Linked DNA regions of Arabidopsis thaliana. The protein of the gene in region 3 binds, or shares a complex with, the protein of the main gene of each other region. Each region holds a gene or a part of one and is shown on either strand. Other genes may lie near its edges.

Region 1 (7,351 bases), on a different chromosome or scaffold from region 3:
GTTCAAGGGCAGGATCAAAACCAAGAAATTAAACTATAGACTGAACATAGATCATAAAAAAGTTGAAAACATCTGCACGAAGAAGAAGAAGAAGAAGAAGAAGAAGAAGAAGAAGAGGACCTGTGACGATAGCAGTGAGACCAGTACCATCGATTCCATGAGTGACTTCTTCAGCTGTGGAACGAGCAGAGAACCCAGATGCTCCTTTCCACCAAAAAGGCCACATGTTTGTTTTGTTTCTATCTTCTGTACCACAAAATTAAAGTCTAATCTCAACCAAACCAACGCTAGCTGATGATCAAACACACACCCTAGTAAAGTTGACCAATTATAAAATTTCTTTTTCCGAGAGCTTTTGCAATGTGCCCATGCTCTGTTCTCAAAACAAGGCACTGAAGAATCTCGTATAAAAGTATTAATTACAGTTTCATTTGTTTTCTTCCTTAATCCAGAGATAAGAATAAAGATGTTTGTATACACTATTTACATTTTTGATACAAATGTTGTTAAATGTGAAATTTGGTATTCGTTTATTGTTCTTCATAAACTAATAATAAGCAATTAACAAAAAGTTTGCTTGAAAGAGAAGCTGATCAATGTCAAAGGTTTTTACAGCAGAAAGTTGGAAATAAATTGGACAAACAAAGAAAGATCCAACCGAAGAAGGAAATAACAACTCTCTCTGGGTGTGTAGAGCAAAAAACGAGTCTAACATGTTTTAAAATCTTTCATAAAAACTTATAAAAGATGAGCAATCTTCAAAAGAAGAAGAGACAGGTTTGGGCTAAAGAAGAGTGCTGTGATGTTGAAAATCCAGAGATAACCTTTTTCATTCATTCCCATGGAGATTGAGACCAAAAAAATTATTATTACTCAACGCTGTGTTGGCCTGGGCCTGGAGCTTCCAAATGTGGATCGGCGATCATCACTGCCTCTAGGACCAGAACCCCAACGGTCTCCTCCTTCAGCTGGAGGTCCAGATCTTTCCCTATTACTAGTCCACCGGTCAGTATTCTGAGCGGCTCCTCTGTTGCTTCCCCAGTGGTCATCTCCGGGAGGCGGCCCACGGTTGGACCGTCGGTCAGTTTCTGATGATGTTGGTGCTGATGGGCCTGAGACCTCAGTAGTCTGGCGCTTCCACTTCGGAACATAAGGTGCTGCTGGTGCTCCTGCTGCTGCTGCTGCTGCTGCTGGTGCGGTAGTTCCAACAGGAGTAACAGTAGGCTCTGCAAGGCGAGCAGGTGGTGCATTAGTTCCTCTCAACAGCTCTTCTCGTTCCCGCCTACTTTTCTCTTCCAGCTCTATCTCTCTCTGCCTTTGCTTCTCAAAAGCTTTATCCAAGTTTGCTTTGCGTTCAGCTTCTACCTTCTTGAGCCTCTCAGCTTCTACATTAGAGGAAAACCCAAAAAATAAACAGAAACAAGGGGTTATTAAGAAAAACTTCAATATCAAAGTCAAAATGATGTGGATTTATGGAAGCAAGTCCACACCTTCCTGCTTGCGAGCTTCCTCTTCTTCCTGCAGCTTCCTAATCCTTTCTTCTTCAATTTTCAAATAATATATCTGCTTCCTCTTGATATCCCTTTCTTGCTTCTTCTCTCGGATTATTTTACTGATACGCTCCTCTCTCTCCGTCCTGATTCTGTCAAACTCTGCTTGTCGACGACTAATCACTTGTGCTTGGAATATTTCCTGGGCACAGAAAGATTCGATTATAAGTACATTGGAAGGAAAAGTTACAGGAAAAATGTAAGAAACTAGAGAGCTTTAAAATTAATTCAATAACGAAAAGAGATTCAGATCAAAGATGAACATTAAGAGAAACAACATGACATGTCAAAGACTGACCTTATTACCCAACATTCTGGACAACCTGTTCTTCTCCTTCAAGTCACTCTCATGACGCTCTTTACTGAGTTCAACTTCACGCTGCATAGGAGAAGAGCTTTTAAGACCTCATATACTTCCAACACAGAACCAAGTTGTAAGAAAAGAAAAACTACTGAAACAGTAAGTACCTGTTGTTCACGCTCATAAAACTCTCTTTCCTCTACCAGTCTTCGCTGATATGCAGCTTCAATCAATGGAGCAGCCTCTTCTCTCTTTGCTCTTTCCAAATAATCCATCGTTTTGGCAAGCTTTTGAAGCTTCTTCTCCATTTCTTGCCTTTCCTTGAGCTGCTCAGTTAAGGCCCTTTCCTTCACAGATTGCTTTGTCACCTTCTCCTATATTTAGTTTAACCCAACCGACATTAGTAATAAGTTAATCAGTGAACTATATAATAGCTAACATATTGGTAAACTTACTCCGTCTAAAAGTGGCTTCTTCTTTCCCTTTTTCATGCGCTTCTCTGTCTCTTCCAGTAAAGCTTGGGCTTCTTCAAGCTCCTTCTCCTCTATCTCTCTAAGGATTCTTTGTTTTCTTCTCTCTGCAAGCTCTGCTGCAAGTCTCTTTTGTTCTGCCTCTTCAGTTAGCTTCTGAAGCTTAAGCCGTTTCTGCTCCTCTTCACGTTCCTTCAAAAGTAAACATCAAATAAAGGAATTTTCATAAACAGGTACAGCGTAAAAGGAGAGCTGTGCAAATAACCATGGAAAAGTAACTACCATTTCTAGTTGCTGACGCTCTTGATCCTCCTTCCTCTTTTCAATGATTGATTTACGAGCAAGCAGTCTTTTGTGCTCTTTCTCAACAGTATCTGCTAAATTTGGTATAACGCCAGCTAGTTTTGATGCTTTACTTGGGACAGGATACAGCATAGCTCTTACTTTGCTCAAAGACTCGGCAAAAACAGCCAGATGATCCCTCAGTCCATCAGACTCAATACCCTAATATACAAACAGTTGATCAAATAGATTAGTATTTAGTCAATAAGTTAAAAATTATATTACTCAACTACATATGATATAATCAGTGTTGAGCTGAAGCTTTAACAGAGGCTTACCAAATTTCCAAAAATTACAACACCCTTCATGTGATCAACTTTCATGGCAACAAAATTGTTCTTCACAGCATCAACAGAAATCTTCTCTACCTCTGAGAATTGAAAGAAGGGTACCAACTGAGATAAACTCTCAATTCTTATTGTCTGATAAATCTTAGACACCTGAAAATAAAATCGGAACATAGAACATTTAGTATGCAGAAAAAGGGATAAACCACCAGAAAAATCCAAAATGGTTGAATGGGTATTGACCTACAACATAGAGAACAAGGCTTACCTGTTGAAGTAGCCTCAGAGTAGCAAGCTTCTCCAGAGAAGGAACATATTGGGAAAGTTGCACTTCTGGTAAAGAAGGAGCTGAGGACAGTTTCCCACCAGATTTGGAAATCTTTTCCAGCAAAGGCTGAATCTTGGAGCCAAGATCAAGTGGGTGAAATTCATGCTCCAAAACATGGAAAAGATCTTTGACCTCCTGAGATGCACAGCTCAAAACACCTTTTGAAACCTAATTGCATAAAAATCAGCCTCCAAATCAGATATTTGTAAGTCGACAAATATTCTAAACCACAGACAGGGTAACAGCTAGAGACTCACCAGCTCTGACAGAAGAGCTGACCGGGAAAGCTGAAACAGGAAGGAAATGGAATTAGAATACTAAACCAGAAAGAAAGGGCGCAAAATAAAAATGAAGCAACATAAGAACCTATGTTACCATATCTTTGCCCTCAAATTTAGGTTCAAGATTGAATCCAATGAGGTTAGCCATCCTCAAATTGCGTTCTTTCTCATTTTCAAGTTCCATATGGGATGCGCTCTGAGCCCGATCAAATGGTGGAATGGACAATGCCGCCAAGACAACAGATGACGCTATTAGCTGCAAATCCTTTTGGCTTAAATTCTTGTTGAAATTTTTCTGCAGACTAAACAGCTTAAACCATGCATAAGCATGATAAAGATGGCTAGAAGAAATCCAGAAGATCTCAGTCAATTTGGAATAATAAACCATCAATAAAGATGACTTGGGCGTTTTTTTGACCATGCACATTAATCCATAGATATCTTCAACAGAGCGAAAAGCTTCCTGCAAAGATACATCACGAACCATACTAACTTATTTCCAGTAATTATACAGAGGATAAGCTATATACAGCCAAACTAAATATGGAATAGAGAAGGTAGCATCAGAAAAATACACATAGAAAACAAAAACGCACCTGCCAAAGTCCAAGCTCAGTAGCAACTTTCAACTGATCAAACCTTGTGTCCAGATACAGCTGCAAGCTCTCAGGGGCTGATAAGTCAGGTCGGTCCCTTTGGTCTCTGTACTTGTTCAGGTTTGCCAAATGATTTCTTATAATTTCACAAAGCCTACGGAACTCTGTTGTTCGCTTGTACTGCTTACAGAACTGGAAGGCTTTATGTGCTGTCATCTACAAGATTATAAAGTACAAGTCTTCAATCTCAATCAACTTAAAATCAGAGGTATCACCAATAAGCTTAACCTAGAAGAAAACAAACCGCATAAAGTGCTTCCAACTTTGAGTTGTTTCGCAATATCTCAAGGACTGTCCTGTATGTCTCCCACAGAAACTTAAACCATGGGGTGACCAACTCACGGTCAGACCTATCTTTTCCCTTCTCCCCACTGACAATACTTAGCTGTAAATCCTCAGGCTTCCTATCAGCTTCAAGGTCATCAACATCAAGAGCCTCCTCAAGGGCATCCGCCTGAGACCGAGCTTGCTCAGCTTTGTCAGTAGCAAGATGTAGGAAGTGCTTGATAACTTCCTCCAAGGAACTGACATTCACTTGCTGGCAAACAATACGATACTGAATCAATCCATCCTTAGCGAATCGACCCCTCTTCAAGTCAACACAAAGATCAAGATACTTAAACATGATCTTCTCAAGCGGTTTCTGCCAAGCTCTGTATCTCTTGGAAGTAATGAGATCATGAAGCGCCTGAAGAGCATCTTGTTTCTGTCCAACATTGATCAATTCTACACACACAAAAAAAAAGTGTTTAACACAATCTCAATTCATACACACCCTAACCACATCCATTTGACCAAATGGATGTTAAAACGAAAACATTTCGTAACTTACCATCAGCACGCTTCAACGCGTTCTCTGGTTTGGCAAAATTCGCCATGTTTCAGACGAAAAAAGCTAGTAACAAACTCTAACGCAAGGGACACTCTCAATTAGCCTGAAAAACACAGAGAAGCGATTTTGTTACAGAGATCACCAGAATCCGAAAAACCCAATCAGATATCTCAGAAAAGGATGGAAGCTACATAGACCAGAAAAAACTTGCCCAAACCCTAAATTCATTTCATAGAATCAAAATAACACAGAAAGATTCGATAACCTGACCCAAACCCTAACCCAGATCAATTCAATGAGATTTGATTAAAAGGCAGTAGAGATCCAATCACTGATGCAAGAACAGAGCCGAAACTTAGGACTAACCTTGTAGCCGTGAAAAGAGAAGACTGATAAGAGAGACGAGAAGCGAAGCGGAAGCAACTCTAGGGTTTCTGGTATTAATATTATCGTTCTACATATATATTACCCATATTTGCAGAAATCATCCTATTTTCTTACGGTTTCGAAATGACCCCGTTTTATCTTCTTAGTGTTTATAAAACCCAATTTGTCTAATACTGGGATGTGATTCAATTGAGATCAACAAAATTTATGGATTTCATTTTCGAATTATCATTTACAATATACTCTCTATATTTTGTTTAATAATATTTTTAGCAATTAACTTTGATATTTCTATATTATTAACTAAACATACATTTAAGTAAATAGCCAACAACATATTAAATATTACATAAAATGCCACTACAAAAATTCATTTCAAAAAAACAATTGATTTACATAAAATCATGAAAGGTAAAAAATTCAACTGTAAAAGGGTGTTATTGGTTTATGATTTCAAAAGAGTTTTAATGACTTAAAGTGTAATATAGAATCTGATGTTATTCAATTAAATTTTTTTTAAAGTATAATTGTGTTAACCCGCTTTAATATTTATAATTGGGCAATTATAAATTCATATAAAAAAAATTAATTATGATTATTGCATTTATATAAAAAAATTGAAAATTTGAATATGATTTTTTCTATTACAAATAGGGATTGTTAGCTTACTTTTAACTGTTTTTTTCTTAATTATACTAGGTAAGTAACAAGAGTATAAGAACATTATACAGTTCAAAATATATATTTAAGCAAGGCATTGGAAATATGTGATGGAAAATTAATATAACAGATTATTTTTGAATTATTTTACTATCGACGTATTTTTTTTGTCGGAACTGTCGCTCACGATTTGCAATAGAACATAGCCATATGTAATCATTTTGATCTATATTTTTGAGTTACTCCAAGATTCAAACAATTTAAATTCCGTTATAATCTACAATTAACCTTCCATCCAATTCCAAAATCAACAATATTTTAGCCAATTTGTGCGATGATCATGAATTTGTTTTGTTAAATTCATTGATTTTCTAGAATCCAACATGTACATAAAAAAAATTAGTGGAAATTGATATATTTTTTTGGGAAATTTGCAGAAATAACTAACAAAAAAACTATAATTCACTAACTAACCATCCTAACTATGTAATTATAATATTCTCTGTATTATATGTAATATTACTCAATTTGCCCTTGTTGCCTCAATACCTTCAGTAGCAACCACCACCGCTGGCCACCACCGCCGGCCACCACCGCCGGTCACCACCGCCGGCCACCACCGGTCACCACCACCGGTCACCACCGCCGGCCATCACTGCCTGCCACCACCGCCGGCCACCACTGCCTGCCACCACCGCCGGCCATCACCGCCAACTTCGGCCACCATCTATTCCGGTCACCACCAACACCGGTCACCGTCACTGTCGGCCACCATCAAATCCGGCCACCACCAACTCCGGCCACCACCAACTTCGGCCACCACCACCACCGCCACCACCACTGTCGGCCATCACCACCACCGGCCACCACCACCACCGCCGGTCACCACCACCACCACCACCACCACCACCACCACCGCCGACCATCACCCCGCCGGTCACCACCACCACCGCCGGCCACCACCACCACCGCCGGTCACCACCACCACCACCACCACCACCACCACCACCGCCGACCATCACCCCGCCGGTCACCACCACCACCACCGGCCACCACCACCACCGGCCACCACCACCACCGCCGGCAACCACCACACCGATCACCAACACTTCCGACCACCATCAACTCCATCCACCACCGCCGGCCACAACCATCACCACCACTACCATCTCCAATCAAAAAGACTAATTTAGTAAGTTTACTACCCTCTAGTGTTAGTTTCTACATTTTGTATATTATAGTGTTAGTTTCTTAAAT
Region 2 (4,908 bases), on a different chromosome or scaffold from region 3:
CAGCCGGAGCTGGTTTATATTGTCTTGTCCATGCTTGATCATGAATAAGACTGACTCTTTCGTTAGTAAGATCGATCGGGGATTGATATCTTCCGGTGTTACAAACTTTCCAGTGCGGATTTATTTTGCCCCATCCCTCTGGTCCCTTTTCCGTTTTTTGTTCGTAAGTAAATGGAGTTTCGTCGTCTGTTTTCAGATTAAAGTTAATAACAAATCATTAAATCTGAATTTTGATACAAAAGATTAATTTTACTAGAATGCAATAGAGATGTAGTAATCATACCGACTTCAGAATGAGCGTGTGAAATATTAGGGAAAGATAGATAGATGAAACACATAGCCATGAAGAAAATTGTTTTTGCGTTGGTATCCATGTTTCTCTTCTTTCGAGATTAGATTTTGCTTAATGGAGTATGTTATTATGTTTTGGAGATTGAAGGGTTTAGAGACAACCTATTTAAGAGGAGGCTTTTGGGGGATGTTTGTTCTGCTGTTCTGATATGGTTTTTGCCGTTGCTACGATTATTAGTTAATAATCTGATGTTACTATTGGAAACATGAAAAAAAAAAAAAAAAAACTGAATGCTTAGTAAAAACCATTTTGGTTGAGTTTTCTAATTTGGGGTTTATAATAATAAATATATGTGAAGTATGTCGGTTTAACAGAGATTAAAACCGACCAGGACAATAGGATCTATGTCAGTTTAACAGAGATAAAAACCGACCAGGACAATAGGATCAAGCTCATAAGAGAATACGCCAAACGACCGAAACAAACAAAAGTTGGAACCATAAAATACCAAATTTTATAAAACTAATGCAAAATGATTCAAGAAAATTTGGTGGCTATAAGAGTCATAGTAAAAAGATTTCTGTTCTGTAAACAATCCGTAATGATTTTCCAAAAGATGTCACGAAGATAGTGTTCTACAATCTCATTTCTGACTTAAAATTACAGCAGTACCACAAAAATTTGAAAAAGGACAAGATAATTAAAAAAGGAACCTCCATTGTTGTTGTTTGATTGAAGCTTCAACTCTCAAAAGAACCCAGAAACGAAAGGTGTAGACTTTGGACCTGAAGAATATAGTATCCAAATTGTGAATGACGATGCTTCATACGACGTTTATACTTATAATAAAGATCATCAATTAATCTAAGTCACCAGTTTCTAAACTATAAGAATGAAATTCAGATGAATAAGAACAAGATTCTATGGCTAAGAAGTAAGAACCAACTTTCTGCATTTTCTTGGGTTCTAAGTATAAATTCACGATCCTAAACAAGTGTTCAATCAAATCCAACAAGCATATTATGGTAACCGCCTTTTGAATTTGAGAGTTGTTTGTATGAACTACCTGACTTTATAACCATCAAGCTTGAGCATCATCAGCTTTCTTCTCCTCGGTTTCTTTAGTTGCAGCTACACTTGCTTCTGCTCCCTCTGTGTTTTCCTCAGTTGGCTGAACCTGTTCATCTTCAGGCAACGGTTCCTCAACGTAATCATTCTCGAAAGCATCAGGTGGAACCTCATAAATCCTCACTTGAGGCTTCGATGGATCCTTCACAAGAACATACTTCCCTTCGCTTAGTTTCATACACAGATCAACTATGGATTTCACAATCCCCCACATGTTAGAAGTGTTGAGATTAATCTGTCCAGCGAAATCCTTCGGCTTATACCCCAAAACAGATAATATAACATGGTTGAAATGATCACGAGGATGAACCCTAGAGACAAAACCAATCTTCATCATATCAGCATTAGCCAATAAAGCTTGTGCAGTCCATTTAGCCAACTTATTTCCATTGTTCTTCAATTCTGTAGCTAAAACCGCACCTCTCTGAGTTTCAAGCTTCTGTCTCCAATCAACACCAGAGTACTTAGGATCAAACTCGTTAAGAGCATTCAAAGTAAGAAACGACCTTTGGTTGTTGAGATCAGCAACACTCTGTAACTCACACCTCGCAACAAGATGCATATTATCATCAAGCTTCCACCTTCTATACCTATAAGCAACAGAAGCAATCTCTTCACCTTCATTAGCAAATGGATTGGCTTCATCAAAAGTTTCCTTCTTTCCATCTCTAACCAAAACCTGCTGCGAAAAGTTCTGATTGATGTAAGCAGCTTCCACACCTAGAGAATGAGCAGAATTGATATCATCTTTAGACTCAGGCAATGGCTCTTGAGATGTCTCATGCACAGACAACAAATCAAGCTGTGATCCATCTCTCTTGTCAAAGAACAGTTTGTTACCAACACGTTGAATAACAATATCCCAAGAGTAAACAGATCTAGGAGCACACATAAGAGCAGCTAATATAGCATCAGTAGCGAAAACAGTAGCTTTGTCTTCCTTAGCTAAACGCCTAATCACAGGATCATCACTAGTAGTGACTTTGAAGAAGTTCCTGTTCTTGAAACGCTCGAGTCTGCGTTCGTTTTTCGGCGTTATGCGATCGAAAAGGCGGTTGTAGTACTCAAGGCCACCACAGAGAAGAAGATCTTCTGGTTCTTGAACTGTGTACGAGAGCTTCGAGAATGTTGAGAAAGGGATCTGCTCAAGCATGTTCCACTCCGGCTGAATATCAACGGATGATTTGAAAGCGGCAGCTTCACGGCGTTGGTGATGGATGTTGTTACGGTTGTTATTGTAGAGACGATCACGACGAGCTCGTTCCTTCTCAGCATCACGCTTCTTAGCTTCAACTTCTTCATCTCGCCGTTGAGGAAGCTGATTCCGATTGTGGTGAGGATTGAAACGCCATTTAGGTCCGAATTTAGGACGCGGCGGAGGTTTACCGTCGACGAGACGGAAAGCTGCGTCTTCGTCGGGATTACCACCGGAGGAAGCGAGACCGAAGCCTTCGTCGATTGCGAAAGCGGAGAAATCGAAAACTGCAGACGGATCTGATTTGGATCCGGTGTTAGGACGAGCGGATGGATTAGAGAGATTGCGAGTCCAATCAGCTACACGGCCGAGCTTATCGGAACGGGAGAAGGAAGCGAAAGGAACGTTCGGGAGAAGATTAGCGGCGGCGACGCTGGTGGGAGAGGCGGAGGAGGAAACGTCGGAAGCGTCTGGAGGTCCCCAGCCATCGGAATTGAAAGGAACGGCGACGAATTCGAAAGCTTCGGTTACCATTTCTGAGAAGATAGTGTTGCAGCTGTGTGTGTGGAAAGCGGAAACCCTAATTCTTTAGTCTACGTTGAAGAGAGAAGGTACAAGAAAAAAACATTTTTGTTAATGTTTGGGCTCATGGGCTTTAGTATTCTTCAAAACCCATATATAACACTTGAAGTCTTAAATCATGTTTTTCATTTCTGACTTTGAGAAAAAAATAAAATAAAATAAAAATTTAGAATTCAAATTCATCAATTTGAAATAGTATAACACATTTTTTTTTGATAAACTCTATTTGCTGATCTGGTCAGCTTCGATAGAAACGCACCAAAGTGCTCCGAAGTAAACTTTTCCCGAAGGACCACAACACTATCTGTCCCGAATTTAAATGTTTTCTAACTAATACCACGGGATATTCAAACTCGGATCTGAGAGTTTCACCTATCACCAAAGTTTCTCCTATCACTAGATTACAAATGCTTGGGCAAGTATAACACATTGAAAAAAGGTGAAGTTATTTCGCTCGTTCATGTATTAATTCTAAGAAACTTTTTTTTTTGGTTTCGTTCTTGAAAATCATCATCCTAAGTTTCATATATTTCACAGCTTTGTTGATACCAAAAAACAAAATATATTTCACAGCTTTAAGTAGAGAAAAGTATATATTATGCTTACAAATGAAACATCACTCTCACAGCACATGATACAATTCAAGAAAAGGAATCTAGCTAACACCAAAAATAATTCAAGAAAAGGAACAAAAACATAGAACTTTTTTTTTTAATAAAGGAACAAGGAATCAATATTAGTGAACACTGTTCACAATCTTCTCCAGTCTTTCAGGAATTTGACTCCTAGCTCCATAATCGTGTTCTTCCACCTATATAAAATATAAATTAAATTTAGTTTACTAACATATGGATATTAATAGGAATCAGCTAGTAGAAACTTAACAATCAGATGGGAACATGCAGCTTCTTAGCGTTTTTGAGTGCAAGTTTTATTAAATATAAAAACAACAAGTATAAATATCATTCCCTAACTTTGAACTCATTCCCAATGTGTATACAAGCTGGATTAGACCTAGTTTTAACATAGTAGTAGTAGCAAAGTTTGATTCTTAAATTCCATTGCAAAAAATGTTTTACTTTCCGAATTATACCTTGCAGTGAAGGGTGTGGAAGACAGCATCATCAACAATGGAGTATCCAGCATGAGTGATCTCAGCTCCTAATTCCTCGGTGAGAACACGAATGATCTCACAAAACATAAACTTGTGTTCCAAGCTTGTCACAAGAAAGATGTGAAAAATGGAACCAGTTTCTTGAATCTCGATTTTTGGCAGCTTTCTTGGCACGGAGACATCGACGCTCGACGAAACCGATGAAGATCCGACGGAATTCAGTTTCTCCAAAGTTGTAGTCGCAACGAGGTTCCTTTTCCTTTCTCTCTTTTTCTCCACGTTCACTTGTAGCTTCTTGATGTAGTTTGCAGCTTCATCTAGCTGATCAGGTAGTGTTAAAGGCTCCTAACATGAAATAATAAAAGAGTTTAGAATATTAAGATCATCACCCATACATGGAATCTTAGATTATATAAGCATATAAGAGGGCCAAGAGGAAGAAACCGTAGAAGAATGATGAGGAAGAAGAGAGATGAGTTCTGAGTAGAGAGACTTCATTTGCATCCTTCTATTTTTCTCAACCGTTTTGCGATCTACAGATCTTGATTGACCTGTGTTTGAATGGCTCGGCTCCATTTCTTTTTTTATTCCTGAATT
Region 3 (5,120 bases):
AGTACGGCCAGTTATCTTCCAATTATGAAGCAAAATCTTATTTTTCTGAAATGTTGTGATTGTTTTTGTTGGCAAATTCGGATGGCGGCGACACCAAATGGAAGTTCTATTCAAATCAATCGAATACGTCTTCTCCCATTTCTTGCGAGAGTTTAATGACCATATCTCTTGTTTCATGTCCTTCCCCTCTGATATACACAAACGGTCCTTCATGTTGCTTATAGTAACTCGACCATCAGTGGTAAATGGTATTTTCATACTCGCTTCAAAAGATCCACTGGAAAGATCAAAACACACTATATGCCATTTCCATTGCATGTTGTGTTTCTATTCTTATGTGGTACTCTCTGGAGGGCACCCACCTCCAAAGAAATTGAATTTATCTTCTCTCTTTTGATGACTCTGGCGAGTTGGACTTCTGGAGTAACTTTATACTATTTACGAATTGATATACTTGTTTTGTTTGTGACCTGTTCTTTCCACTGTCATAGTCTTAACTCTTAAGTTTTGTTTTTCTTACTTCTGTTATATGCTATTATTGTACTTACTATTACGCAAATCAGAGATGCTCAATGTAAGGCAGTAATTTACGTTGGCTTGCAAAAACCTTTAAATGCTTAGGGTGGATACAAAATGCTGATTTGGTTGGAAAATGTTCCAATCTGTGGATCCAACATTTCAAATAGAACAACTCCATAATAATCTTTTTCAAAGTAAAAGGTGAACTCAGAGCAAGAAAAAGAAAATAATTCCAGTCAACCGAAGGTGAGTTTTATCAAGGAAAGGCTTCCACAGCAAAATTTTGACTAGCGAGTTGCTTGCGCCTGTGTGTGTTCCAAGAGCTGATTCACTAACTTGTATGTTCGTCCTGATAAGCCTTTGGTGTGGTTTATCAACTGCTCATGCCTGCATAAAGCGGAAACAAGATTAGATTGTAGAATACGAATGATATCATAGATTTAAGCTTATTCTACTTACACGTTGGGCTGAGTAGGCTCCATGATTACAGTTCCTGACTCAGAATCAATCTTGGCATCAAGCTTTGAGGTGCGGATTAGGTTCACAATCCATCTCTCGGCCTCCTCATAGTTCAGATTCAATTTTTCAGCAAGTACCCTGACAAGGGAAATATAGGCTCGACATGAGTACAAAGTTAAACCACAAGACCGCAACAATTCTTCTCAACTTAAATAGCTGGATATGGCAATTTTCATGTGTTGGGAAAGATAAGGAATAGAGAAAATTCCAAACATTGAGCAATCCGGAGAGCAGAGTTATGTGTAAACATATACAACCAAATGTGAGAACTTACCCCATGTCAATCCTTTGATGAATTTTGCAATAGGTTTCAAAGACGAATAGGCGGGCATTTTCAAGAAATTCATCTCTCAGTGGTACAGTTGAAAAGTTTCCATCCTCAACTCGCTTGCCAAGGAATGGATCATTCACAATGACCTACATCATGTTAAAATGTCAGAGTATTGATTGCACAGTTCTGCACAAACAAAAATATCTATACATGTGGATGAGTTACCTCTTCACACTCTTTCATCTTCTTTTGAGCCCCATCAAAGTCATAATTGACAAACACACATGCCAGGAACTCGATAATTGGATCTTTGTAGGAGTAGTGCTCTTGCTGAATGACCTTAATGAATTCTTTCAATTGTGGTCTTCTCCTTTTGTTGACAATGAAAGCAGTTGCCAAGTAGCGCAGCAAGTGTGGAGCACTAGTTTGGATGGCATTCAGATACCTGAAAAAGTAAATCAAATTAGTATACAGAACTGCAGCATGAAAACAAAGTGAATTATTTTTCAGCAAATGCCCATACACAAAGCACAATCTTAAGAATAGGTCTGGATGAAAAGAAGGAGAAGACTCTAAAACTAGTGACTGCTAATTACTTGTAGGCACATCAGGACTAACATTAACTATAAACAAAGTTCTACACACAAACACCACCTATACATAACTTCATCGCATCTAGATCATGCTTATCTTAAAACGCAAGGAAATAGATGGTGATGAAAGGTATAAAGAAGAGATGCAGATAACAGAGAGGTAGAGGCTTACTTGTCTTGGTTAAAAAGATCAATGATCTGTGTCCTTCCATTATCATGGTTAAAAAAGATATACAGACCCCAATGCATCAACCAAATCCTGTTCTGCACCTGGTTTAACGGCGATGAAAAACTCTGAAAAAACAAATGGTAGTTAGCATATATACTCTCACATCTATATTGATTTCAAAGGTCGCAAACTAGAAGAAGTTTTAAATACTAACCTTTGAGTCAATAATCTCTTTGAGACGGTTAAGCTCTTCAAGAGCAATATCCCAGTTTTGCATCAATATTTCAGATGCGAGCTTTCCCCACAAGGCACTCAAACTCCTCTCAAGGTTAGAGCACAGGGTCCTGTACTGGTAAAGATAATCAGCAGCACCAGAATAGTTGCCACATTCAAACTGAAACTTGGCGTACTGGTACAAAGCCTCAATCTGGTCTGGACCAATCTGATAAGACACCAAGCCATATAAGATTTGTGTTCCACAATACACAAACAAAACCAAATCTGGATAACATTTCACAAAATTAAACAACTTAATCATCCAAATCACAACCTGGTAGCGTTCCTTGAGCATTTGGAGATTGTACTGCTTGTCAGCTCTTAGCTCCTGCACAGCGTTAGGGTTCAAAAGAAAAGACACGAGTGGTGCAGCAGCCTCCTCCAAAGATTTGAGCCTAGCGACAACCTCTGTTCTTCTCTCCACCATTTCTATCACCACAAATTTCAACATTCATCATCAAACAAACAAACCAGTACACAAAAACGCAAATTCACAGACATATCCAGAGAGGAATACACAAGAATACCTTGAGGAGCGTCTTCAGTGTGGTAGAGACTCTTGTGAATATCCATGGCGTAATCAACCATGTTCGTCTGGTTCAAAAGCTGGATTTTAGACTTCAGGATCTGCTCATCAGGGTAAAGCTGACGCTCTTGAAGGAACTCGAATATAGGAAACACCAAGTGTCTGTCCAGGTTAGGCGCTATTAGTGGCGTCAGGTCATAGTTCTGTTTGCTTTCCTCCATCGTCGCTAATCTCTCAATCTCCGCCGCTTCCCGCACTGGCAAAATCTTCTTAAGACGGCAGAGATGAAGTTTCAGAGACGACGAGGTAAAAAATCCTGTATATTGAAATTAGGGTTTTCTCGAATATGAGCTTTCAATATTTATAAATTCGCCCCTTTACTTCTTATATATTGTTGTTTACCCCACAAGGTATTTTTATCTCCAAAACGATAACTTAGCCGTCGTTATCTGATCGGCCGGTACCGGAGGGGTTAAGAAAAAATAATAATTAAATGTTTTTTGTGGAGAGGCGCACGGTAAGAAGCTTTATTCGTTTGGCGTATGTTAGTAGTCTGGACTTCTTTCTGTACCGCCTGTGTCCACTAACTTGCGCATGTTCGTCTTTAACCTTTCGCCCTCTTCCTCTATCATACTGGATTAGGGTTCTTCTTCGAGACGAACTCTTTTTCTTTCTCGTGACGAATGTTTCTGTCTAGAAGCTTTTAAGGATTAAGACTCTCCAAAATTTTGACGCCGTGTTATTCTCTTCCCGTCTCTCATGGATCCTTCAAGACGACCACCGAAGGACTCTCCTTACGCGAATCTATTCGATCTCGAGGTCTGTTAGGTCTCAATTTTTTTGTGATTTCCTTGAAATTGATGGTTTGTACTTGTTGGATGATGATCATGTGACTGTGATGAATGTAGTTTTGGTGATTGGAAATCTTGCAATTGTATAGCTTCTCCTTGTTTCTACAGTGTGTTTTTGTTTTACTGTTGAAATTCAGTGTGGGTTTTGTGGCTAAATTCTTCATTCTTGCAGCCGTTGATGAAGTTTAGAATTCCGAAACCTGAAGATGAAGTTGATTATTATGGGAGTAGTAGCCAGGATGAAAGTAGAAGCACTCAAGGTACAGTTTTTAATTGGTTTTATGGAATTACTTTTGCCACCTACTGTGATAGTTTTAAGTGACGTTTATCTGTGTTCTGTCTATATGGTTGGTAATGGTTAAAGGTGGGGTAGTGGCAAACTACAGCAATGGGTCTAAATCGAGAATGAATGCGAGCTCCAAGAAGAGAAAGCGGTGGACAGAAGCTGAGGATGCAGAGGACGATGATGATCTCTACAATCAACATGTTACTGAGGAGCACTACCGATCAATGCTTGGGGAGCATGTACAAAAATTCAAAAATAGGTCCAAGGAGACTCAAGGGAATCCTCCTCATCTGATGGGTTTTCCGGTGCTAAAGAGCAATGTGGGCAGTTACAGAGGTAGGAAACCAGGGAATGATTACCATGGGAGGTTCTATGACATGGACAACTCTCCAAATTTTGCAGCTGATGTGACCCCACATAGGCGAGGAAGCTACCATGATCGTGATATTACACCCAAGTATGTTGATCATATGTTTTTTCATGTTCCATGGGATCCGTGTAACCCTGTGTAATCCGCTTAGATAACTTACGGTGTTGGGTTTCCTAGATTGACACGTTGAATTTTGCATCATTTGCAGGATAGCATATGAACCTTCGTATTTGGACATTGGTGATGGTGTCATCTACAAAATCCCCCCAAGTTATGACAAGCTGGTGGCATCATTAAACTTACCGAGCTTTTCAGACATTCATGTGGAAGAATTTTACTTGAAAGGAACTCTGGATCTGAGATCATTAGCAGAACTGATGGCAAGTGATAAAAGGTCTGGAGTAAGAAGCCGTAATGGAATGGGTGAGCCTCGACCTCAATATGAATCTCTTCAAGCTAGAATGAAGGCCCTGTCACCTTCAAACTCCACCCCAAATTTTAGCCTCAAGGTGTCAGAAGCTGCAATGAATTCTGCCATTCCAGAAGGATCTGCTGGAAGTACTGCACGGACAATTCTGTCTGAGGGTGGTGTTTTACAGGTCCATTACGTGAAGATTCTGGAGAAGGGGGATACATACGAGGTTTGGATTCTGTGGCAGTATTTTATGAATCATAGTTTTGAATCCTTCATGGCTCATTCATGGCTCATTCATGGCTTTATTAACAACATTATCTTTTTG
Region 4 (6,331 bases), on a different chromosome or scaffold from region 3:
TTTTACTAAGAAAGTCATTTTGTTTCACTTTTATAGTAAGTCTGGGTTGATATTTGAATCTCGATGGTGAAACATTCCTCTCCGATGTTGACCAAATCCTAACAAAACTCGGTCTAAGTGCCCGCAGGTTGAAGTTGCAGAGCTAAGACAAAAGCTTCAGACAATGGAAACACTTCAAAAGGAACTCGAACTCCTCCAACGTCAAAGAGCCGTTGCGTCTGAACAAGCCGCCACCATGAACGCCAAACGACAAAGCTCTGGTGGCGTCTGGGGTTGGCTCGCTGGAACTCCTCCGCCTAAAACATGAGTGCCCATGAAACTTTTTTTCGGGTAACTCTTTTTTGTCATTACCAATATCAGTATTTACTTTTAGAAAGAAAGAAAAAGAGAGAAATACAGTATAGACAATTTTTAGCGTCTCCGCATTGTTACTAGTGAAAATAAGGTCTATAGTTGTTTCTACTACAGTATGATTGATGAGTTGCCATTTGAAGATTCAGTTTCTATATAAGCTCTACCGATTTGTGTGTAATTATGTTACACTACAAGCTATATTGTATTGGTAATTTTTCTACCATTTAGTACCATTACATGTGATAAGCACCATACTTCATCAACTAACAACGAAATTTTCAATCATGAAGGAACCAAAAATTATCTTCCAAGTATAGCGAACACGATTTAAAATTGTCTAAGGGATCCAAAGAGATGGCAACAAAAGAGACCGAGTATCTTACGACTCTTGAACGATTTCCTCAGTGACATCGATAAGATCCTCAAACTCAACTTCTTTGGCTTCATATTCATCTTCTTCCACATCACTTACTTCACCATCCCGAAGGTTTTGCCTCACGAGTTTCTCCTCTTCATGCAGAGACTTCCACTGCATTACCCATTTCTCCCATTCTTCCTTCAATGCCTTTCTCTTCTCTCTGTCTTGTTCACTCAACAGCAACGACACGTCCTGATCCTCTGCCTCATACTTCTTGCTGTACTTCTTCAGGGTCTTTGCTATCTCTTCTTCCTTCTCTGCAGTCAAGAATGATGGAGGTCTTGGACGCCAAGCCAACTGTGTAACCAACCATACACAAATATTTTATTAGACATCGGAATGGACGATGCTCGTTTAAGACCGAGTTTTTCTTGTTACATACCTGGAAGAAATGATCCTTCAATATCCGGTAAAGCATAATCCCGTTGAAAGACCATATGGTGAACCCATTCTCCATCTCATGGACTGATGTCACTGCGGTTGCAACGTACCTTTGAAAATAAAAAAGTGCAAACAACATCAGCAATTGGAACAAATAGAAACAACCAAAGGACTGGTTTAGTTAAGACAGTAGGACCTTCCAGTCGGGTCCCATTCGATATCCGTGGCCATGAAGTGTTCAGCTGTGGCCATTGTCTCGAGCTCATCCACGTTGAAAAATTCAAGCTGGCCATTGAAACCTTTTAACCCAGCAAGAATTATGTACTTGCCTGTGGGCGACCAGAAGAGGGCATTAGCTTGTTTGGCCTTCAAAGTTGCGAGCTTTGAAACCCTTCCAGTGTTTTGTGCGGTCTTCATTGAGTAGAAACTGACATCTGGTCTTGGTTGGTCACCATGAATCACAGCAAACCTGTGACCCTTGGGCTCCCATGCAAAAGCAATGATCTTGTCGTTCTTGTTGTCCAGCTCAAGAACCTCGATGGGAATATCCCTTTCTTTGATACGGAAAAGTTCAAATCCAGAGTATGTGCTCTTCTTAGTTTTTGTGTATCGATCAACCTTGACAGCAAGATACTCTCCACTACTCTGCCAGTACATCTTGCAGTCGCTCACACTGAAGAGATTCTTCTGCCTCAGCTCCACCTTGCTCGGGATTTGGACTAGGGCAACCTGAAGAAGGGATATCAACATGTAATTTCAAAACACCAGGCAGAGAAACAGAAGCAAATTAAGGATTCAGAGCTTTTCATGTACATCAGAAATAATAGAAACATACCTTCGCAGGTTGGTTTCCACCACCTTGTTCAGGAACAAACAATGAAAGGATGGAATCAGTAGGAGACCAGCAGATATCCACAACATTATCTACCTTCATGGATTTCTTGTCTATTAGGCTGAAAGTCTCAGTCTCATAGACAGAGATAGTGTTTTTGCTAAGCTTGGCAAAGTATTTATCATCTTTTCCACCAGCCCATCTGTAGAAAAAGTTTACAAGATATCAACATATGTCCATAATAGTGGAGAAGATGATAATATTGGCTGTTTATTTTTAGGACATTGACATGCAGTTGAAAGAATTACCTGAAAACAGGCCAAGAGGCACCAGCAACACCACCAGGTCCTCCAATTGAAAACTCATCAGCACTACCCTTGAAATCTCTCATCATCCTCCCGGTTCTCACATCAAAAACCTTAATCTCAACTTTCTGAAAGTTTGACAGAATTCAGCGTCACAAATAGTAAAAGTTGAAAAGAACAGAAGAAAAGATGCACTCACACTTGCATCTCGCGGGTTGCTTGGTTCTTGGCTATGGTAAGTTACAAGATATTTCTCACCTGGCGAGAAATCAACTAGTTTTACCTAAAACATAATCAACAAAAGATGCAATTTTCAGGCCAACAGAGGAAAAACGGAAGTAATATGTAGCAATTGAAAGGAAATTCAAACCATAGAATGCTGATAACGCATGAGACGCGTGAATGTATCAGCACCACCCCAAACAGCTGCCCCCTGCTTGTGGAGTGTCACAAGGTATGTACCTAAAGGAGACCACTGCACATAACTCTCTGTCCAATACTGCATAGGAAGAGAACATCATTAATTCAAATGAAGGTAACATAACATATAAAAGTGCTCTAAACAGTCAAGTAAACAAATAAGGGATATTAATTCAAATGAAGGTAACATAACATATACATTGCTCTAAACAGTCAAGTAAACAAAAGGGATATACACACAGGAAGTAACTTACAGGACGCTTATGAACAGGTTCAGGCGCCTTCTGCCTAGTATCATTCCAGAAAACTTCAGTATCAGGGCCAGAACGAATGACTAGCTGGTCTCGGGCTTTTTCATCAGTAAGCCATTTTTGCAAATTTTCCTGAAAAAACAAACACCATATAAGTAACGACAATTAGCACCACAAAAGGCTGCAATGAATTAAAATATATACATGAAACAAGAGTTATGAAATTATAGTTATTAGTTAGTATACATCAATTACGTAAAAAGATCCTAACCCTAACGCAGCAGGCAAACACAAAATAAATCAGCGAATTACCAAAATAAAGAAGTGATTACACAGACACAATGGAAGTTATTCAAAGAAAATTATTCAAGGTACAGGGAGTAACATGATGAAAACTACACATACCCCAGGGACGTAGGGCCTGGCCTGAGGAGGCTCCCACTCCTCCTTCACATTCATCAACCTGTCAAAATCATCGAACATGTTTACAGCAAAGATGTGAGACTTGTCCAACTTGTAGCCATGAGACTTTTCCTTAGCGTTTTGTGCTTCCTGCAAAGAGCCCCAGACATTGAGAGAAACTCTTAGGAAATACTCAACCATTAAGAACAACCTAGTTTGGGCTCCTTTCTAACAAGAGAAATAAAGTATTGAAACATATGACGCCGACATTATTGCTTCAGAATCCAACAAAACAGAGATTAAGCTAATCAAGTAGATAAATAACCTGAGGAGTGTTGAACTCAATAAAACAGTAGCCCAATGTCATCTTGGTATCGGGATCAACAGGCATCCACAGTCCATTTTCCTTAATCACACCTAACTGGTTGTAAATTTTCTTGACAACACCTTCAAGTTTCTCAAACTTCTCCTTGGGAACAACAGGGAGGTGATCGACCACGATAATGTTACCGAATCCAGTGTCGAATTCAGACTGGTCATCCTGGTAAACAGCTTCATCATCACTACAACCATCACAGAAAAAAAAAGTGTATAACGAATCAGTTCCATTTTTCATACGTTCATAGATAAAATGTATAAATATAATAAGCTTTGCACCATCAAGGAAAGAGATAAACCAATTCGAAATACACAAAATTTTCATACATACAATAGCAAAACCTAGAATAAAATCATCCCATCGTATAAACACAAGAAGATTAGAAATAGAAGTGACCGTATATGAACAACCAGAGATCTAAAGGAAAATCTCACCTCTCGATCCCAAAGTCTTCTCCAGGAGGAAGTTGGATGGAATCAAAATTAACCTGAGACCAATCAATCCCTAACTTAGCAGCTCGGGCATCAATATCAACGACCTCCATGATTTCAAACCTTATATCAAAAATCTGCCAAAGAAAGCCATATAGAGAGAGCTATCAGTCTTTAACACATTCCAACTTTAAGTCGATAAATAAATGTGAAAAATCTGAGTCTTTAGATCTAAAAGTAGGTTTTTTGTTAACCCTAAACAAGTATTAAAACAACAAACTACCATGGCCAAATGTTCAAAGACTAAAACTTTGAATCATCACTCCCACTATAATGTAAATCTAAAACCATGCCTATAGAAATTATTAACTATACTCTAGTTTTATTTAATCTAGAACCCAACAACAGGTGAAATGGAGAAAAATGGCAAAATTTTCCTGAAGGCTCTCTTATATCTATTGCATCGTTCTGGATCCTGTCTCATAGCTACATAAGAAAAGACAAAAAAAACAAATGAACACTGAAATCGAGATAAGAAACGTACCCAATACAGAGATCAGCCGAGAGCAAAAAACAAAGAAGAAGACGGCGCTTGAAGGTGAGGAAGAAGGAGCGATTGTTTTCAGGTCTTTTTGGATCATACGACGTCGGTTCCTTAAACGGGCTTATAAATATTTATATGGGCCGGGTAAGCCCAATTCAATAGTAATCAGTAGATCTAATTTATTGTCTTTCTCTCGATTAGCTTTTTTTTTTTTTTAACAATAATCCGTCTCTTTCATTTGGTGTCCTCGAGAACCAAATTCGGATAATCTCTCATCGGAGGATCGTTGTTGTTGTTGCTAGGGTTCTTATCGATTTGTAATGTACAAAACTAAATTAATCCCGGTGATGAACGAGGATGCTGTGATTGTTCAACAAACGGATTCGATTCAGGATCCTAAGGTAACTCCAGATGATACTGTAGTTGATTCGAGCGGGGATGTTCACGAAGCCATTGATGATGATGTTGAAGCTTCTTCACCTATGGAGCTAGATTCGGCGGTTACAAATGACGCTAGGGTTCTCGAAAGTGAGAGATCGGAGAAAGATGGTGTCGTAGGGAGTGAGGAGGAAGATGAGATTAAAAGCGAGGATGTTTTAATTGATAAGGATGATGAGAGTTCTGAGGTTAAAGAAGAAGAAGAAGAAGAAGATGGCTCTGATGATCAATCTAGTGAGCTTGGTTCTGAAGCTGATGAGAAGGAATTAGATTTGGGTTTGAAGGAAGAGAAAAAAGGAGTTTCGGATTATAAATCTCTTTTATCTGAGTTTGATGATTATGTTGCAAGTGAGAAAATGGGTTCTGGAGTTTCGAGGGCATTGAGTTATGGGTTTGAAGTTGGAGATTTGGTTTGGGGAAAGGTAAAGTCTCATCCTTGGTGGCCTGGTCATATATTCAATGAAGCTTTTGCGTCTCCTTCTGTTCGTCGTATGAGGAGGATTGATCATGTTCTTGTTGCGTTTTTCGGTGATAGTAGTTATGGTTGGTTTGATCCTGCTGAGCTTATTCCTTTCGAACCGAATTTAGAGGAGAAATCACAGCAGACGGTTTCGAAGCATTTTGTGAGAGCTGTGGAGGAAGCCAAGGATGAGGCGAGTAGAAGGTCAGCTCTTGGTTTGACTTGTAAATGTCGGAATCCTTATAACTTTAGGCCTAGTAATGTGGAAGATTACTTTGCTGTTGATGTGCCTGATTACGAGCTTCAAGCCGTTTACTCTGTTGATCAGATTAAGAATTCTAGGGATAAGTTTTTACCCGCTGAAACCATTTCGTTTGTGAAGCAATTGGCGTTAGCACCTCAAGAGTGTGATCCAGACAGTTTAAAGTTTATGAAGAAGAAAGCAGTGGTTTTTGCTTTCCGCAAGTCAGTGTTTGAGGAGTTTGATGAAACTTATGCACAGGCCTTTGGGACAAAATCACCCCGCAGTTCAGTGAGTACGCTGGAACCTCATAATAGAGCACCGCCTCGAGGTATTAGCCACTTTTCAGAAAATCATGTTATTGTTTGTATATGGGTTTTTTCGTTGTAGACTTGAAACAGCTTTCATATGTGTTACATAGATATTAGATACTGTAACTTGGTTTTAGGGTTTTACTTTTAGATCCTCTGTGCTC

The links.
Region 1: EIF3E (region 3) and EIF3A share a complex: the UniProt entries of both Arabidopsis thaliana proteins name them as parts of the eukaryotic translation initiation factor 3 (eIF-3) complex.
Region 2: EIF3E (region 3) and AT4G20980 share a complex: the UniProt entries of both Arabidopsis thaliana proteins name them as parts of the eukaryotic translation initiation factor 3 (eIF-3) complex.
Region 4: EIF3E (region 3) and TIF3B1 share a complex: the UniProt entries of both Arabidopsis thaliana proteins name them as parts of the eukaryotic translation initiation factor 3 (eIF-3) complex.

The regions. Positions count from the first base shown.
Region 1 is NC_003075.7:6,946,961-6,954,311, forward strand, and holds EIF3A (eukaryotic translation initiation factor 3A), read right to left. Parts: upstream 5,520-7,351; 5' UTR 5,414-5,519; intron 5,151-5,413; 5' UTR 5,094-5,150; coding exon 5,048-5,093; intron 4,942-5,047; coding exon 4,460-4,941; intron 4,372-4,459; coding exon 4,156-4,371; intron 4,023-4,155; coding exon 3,654-4,022; intron 3,566-3,653; coding exon 3,536-3,565; intron 3,447-3,535; coding exon 3,219-3,446; intron 3,104-3,218; coding exon 2,942-3,103; intron 2,826-2,941; coding exon 2,604-2,825; intron 2,514-2,603; coding exon 2,307-2,513; intron 2,226-2,306; coding exon 2,019-2,225; intron 1,930-2,018; coding exon 1,849-1,929; intron 1,693-1,848; coding exon 1,491-1,692; intron 1,386-1,490; coding exon 874-1,385; 3' UTR 516-873; downstream 1-515. Other genes in the region: AT4G11410 (NAD(P)-binding Rossmann-fold superfamily protein), read right to left, coding at 121-226; AT4G11430 (hydroxyproline-rich glycoprotein family protein), read left to right, coding at 5,839-5,868, 6,653-7,282. UniProt on the Arabidopsis thaliana protein: RNA-binding component of the eukaryotic translation initiation factor 3 (eIF-3) complex, which is involved in protein synthesis of a specialized repertoire of mRNAs and, together with other initiation factors, stimulates binding of mRNA and methionyl-tRNAi to the 40S ribosome.
Region 2 is NC_003075.7:11,215,238-11,220,145, reverse strand, and holds AT4G20980 (Eukaryotic translation initiation factor 3 subunit 7 (eIF-3)), read right to left. Parts: upstream 3,266-4,908; 5' UTR 3,150-3,265; coding exon 1,374-3,149; 3' UTR 1,359-1,373; exon of another isoform or gene 1,078-1,358; 3' UTR 968-1,077; exon of another isoform or gene 766-967; intron 579-765; 3' UTR 508-578; downstream 1-507. Other genes in the region: ACA4 (alpha carbonic anhydrase 4), read right to left, coding at 1-186, 284-374; AT4G20970 (basic helix-loop-helix (bHLH) DNA-binding superfamily protein), read right to left, coding at 3,934-4,008, 4,291-4,656, 4,756-4,887. UniProt on the Arabidopsis thaliana protein: mRNA cap-binding component of the eukaryotic translation initiation factor 3 (eIF-3) complex, which is involved in protein synthesis of a specialized repertoire of mRNAs and, together with other initiation factors, stimulates binding of mRNA and methionyl-tRNAi to the 40S ribosome.
Region 3 is NC_003074.8:21,195,980-21,201,099, forward strand, and holds EIF3E (eukaryotic translation initiation factor 3E), read right to left. Parts: upstream 3,341-5,120; 5' UTR 3,095-3,340; coding exon 2,875-3,094; intron 2,777-2,874; coding exon 2,622-2,776; intron 2,514-2,621; coding exon 2,286-2,513; intron 2,197-2,285; coding exon 2,075-2,196; intron 1,755-2,074; coding exon 1,535-1,754; intron 1,456-1,534; coding exon 1,313-1,455; intron 1,117-1,312; coding exon 979-1,116; intron 907-978; coding exon 807-906; 3' UTR 538-806; downstream 1-537. Other genes in the region: INO80 (DNA helicase INO80-like protein), read left to right, coding at 3,633-3,692, 3,897-3,984, 4,089-4,467, 4,589-5,021. UniProt on the Arabidopsis thaliana protein: Component of the eukaryotic translation initiation factor 3 (eIF-3) complex, which is involved in protein synthesis of a specialized repertoire of mRNAs and, together with other initiation factors, stimulates binding of mRNA and methionyl-tRNAi to the 40S ribosome.
Region 4 is NC_003076.8:9,780,474-9,786,804, forward strand, and holds TIF3B1 (translation initiation factor 3B1), read right to left. Parts: upstream 4,816-6,331; 5' UTR 4,718-4,815; intron 4,703-4,717; exon of another isoform or gene 4,311-4,702; 5' UTR 4,287-4,310; coding exon 4,177-4,286; intron 3,927-4,176; coding exon 3,689-3,926; intron 3,592-3,688; coding exon 3,367-3,591; intron 3,094-3,366; coding exon 2,965-3,093; intron 2,790-2,964; coding exon 2,661-2,789; intron 2,574-2,660; coding exon 2,490-2,573; intron 2,419-2,489; coding exon 2,294-2,418; intron 2,188-2,293; coding exon 1,989-2,187; intron 1,883-1,988; coding exon 1,350-1,882; intron 1,264-1,349; coding exon 1,155-1,263; intron 1,070-1,154; coding exon 734-1,069; 3' UTR 537-733; downstream 1-536. Other genes in the region: ACBP5 (acyl-CoA binding protein 5), read left to right, coding at 128-307; AT5G27650 (Tudor/PWWP/MBT superfamily protein), read left to right, coding at 5,038-6,187. UniProt on the Arabidopsis thaliana protein: RNA-binding component of the eukaryotic translation initiation factor 3 (eIF-3) complex, which is involved in protein synthesis of a specialized repertoire of mRNAs and, together with other initiation factors, stimulates binding of mRNA and methionyl-tRNAi to the 40S ribosome.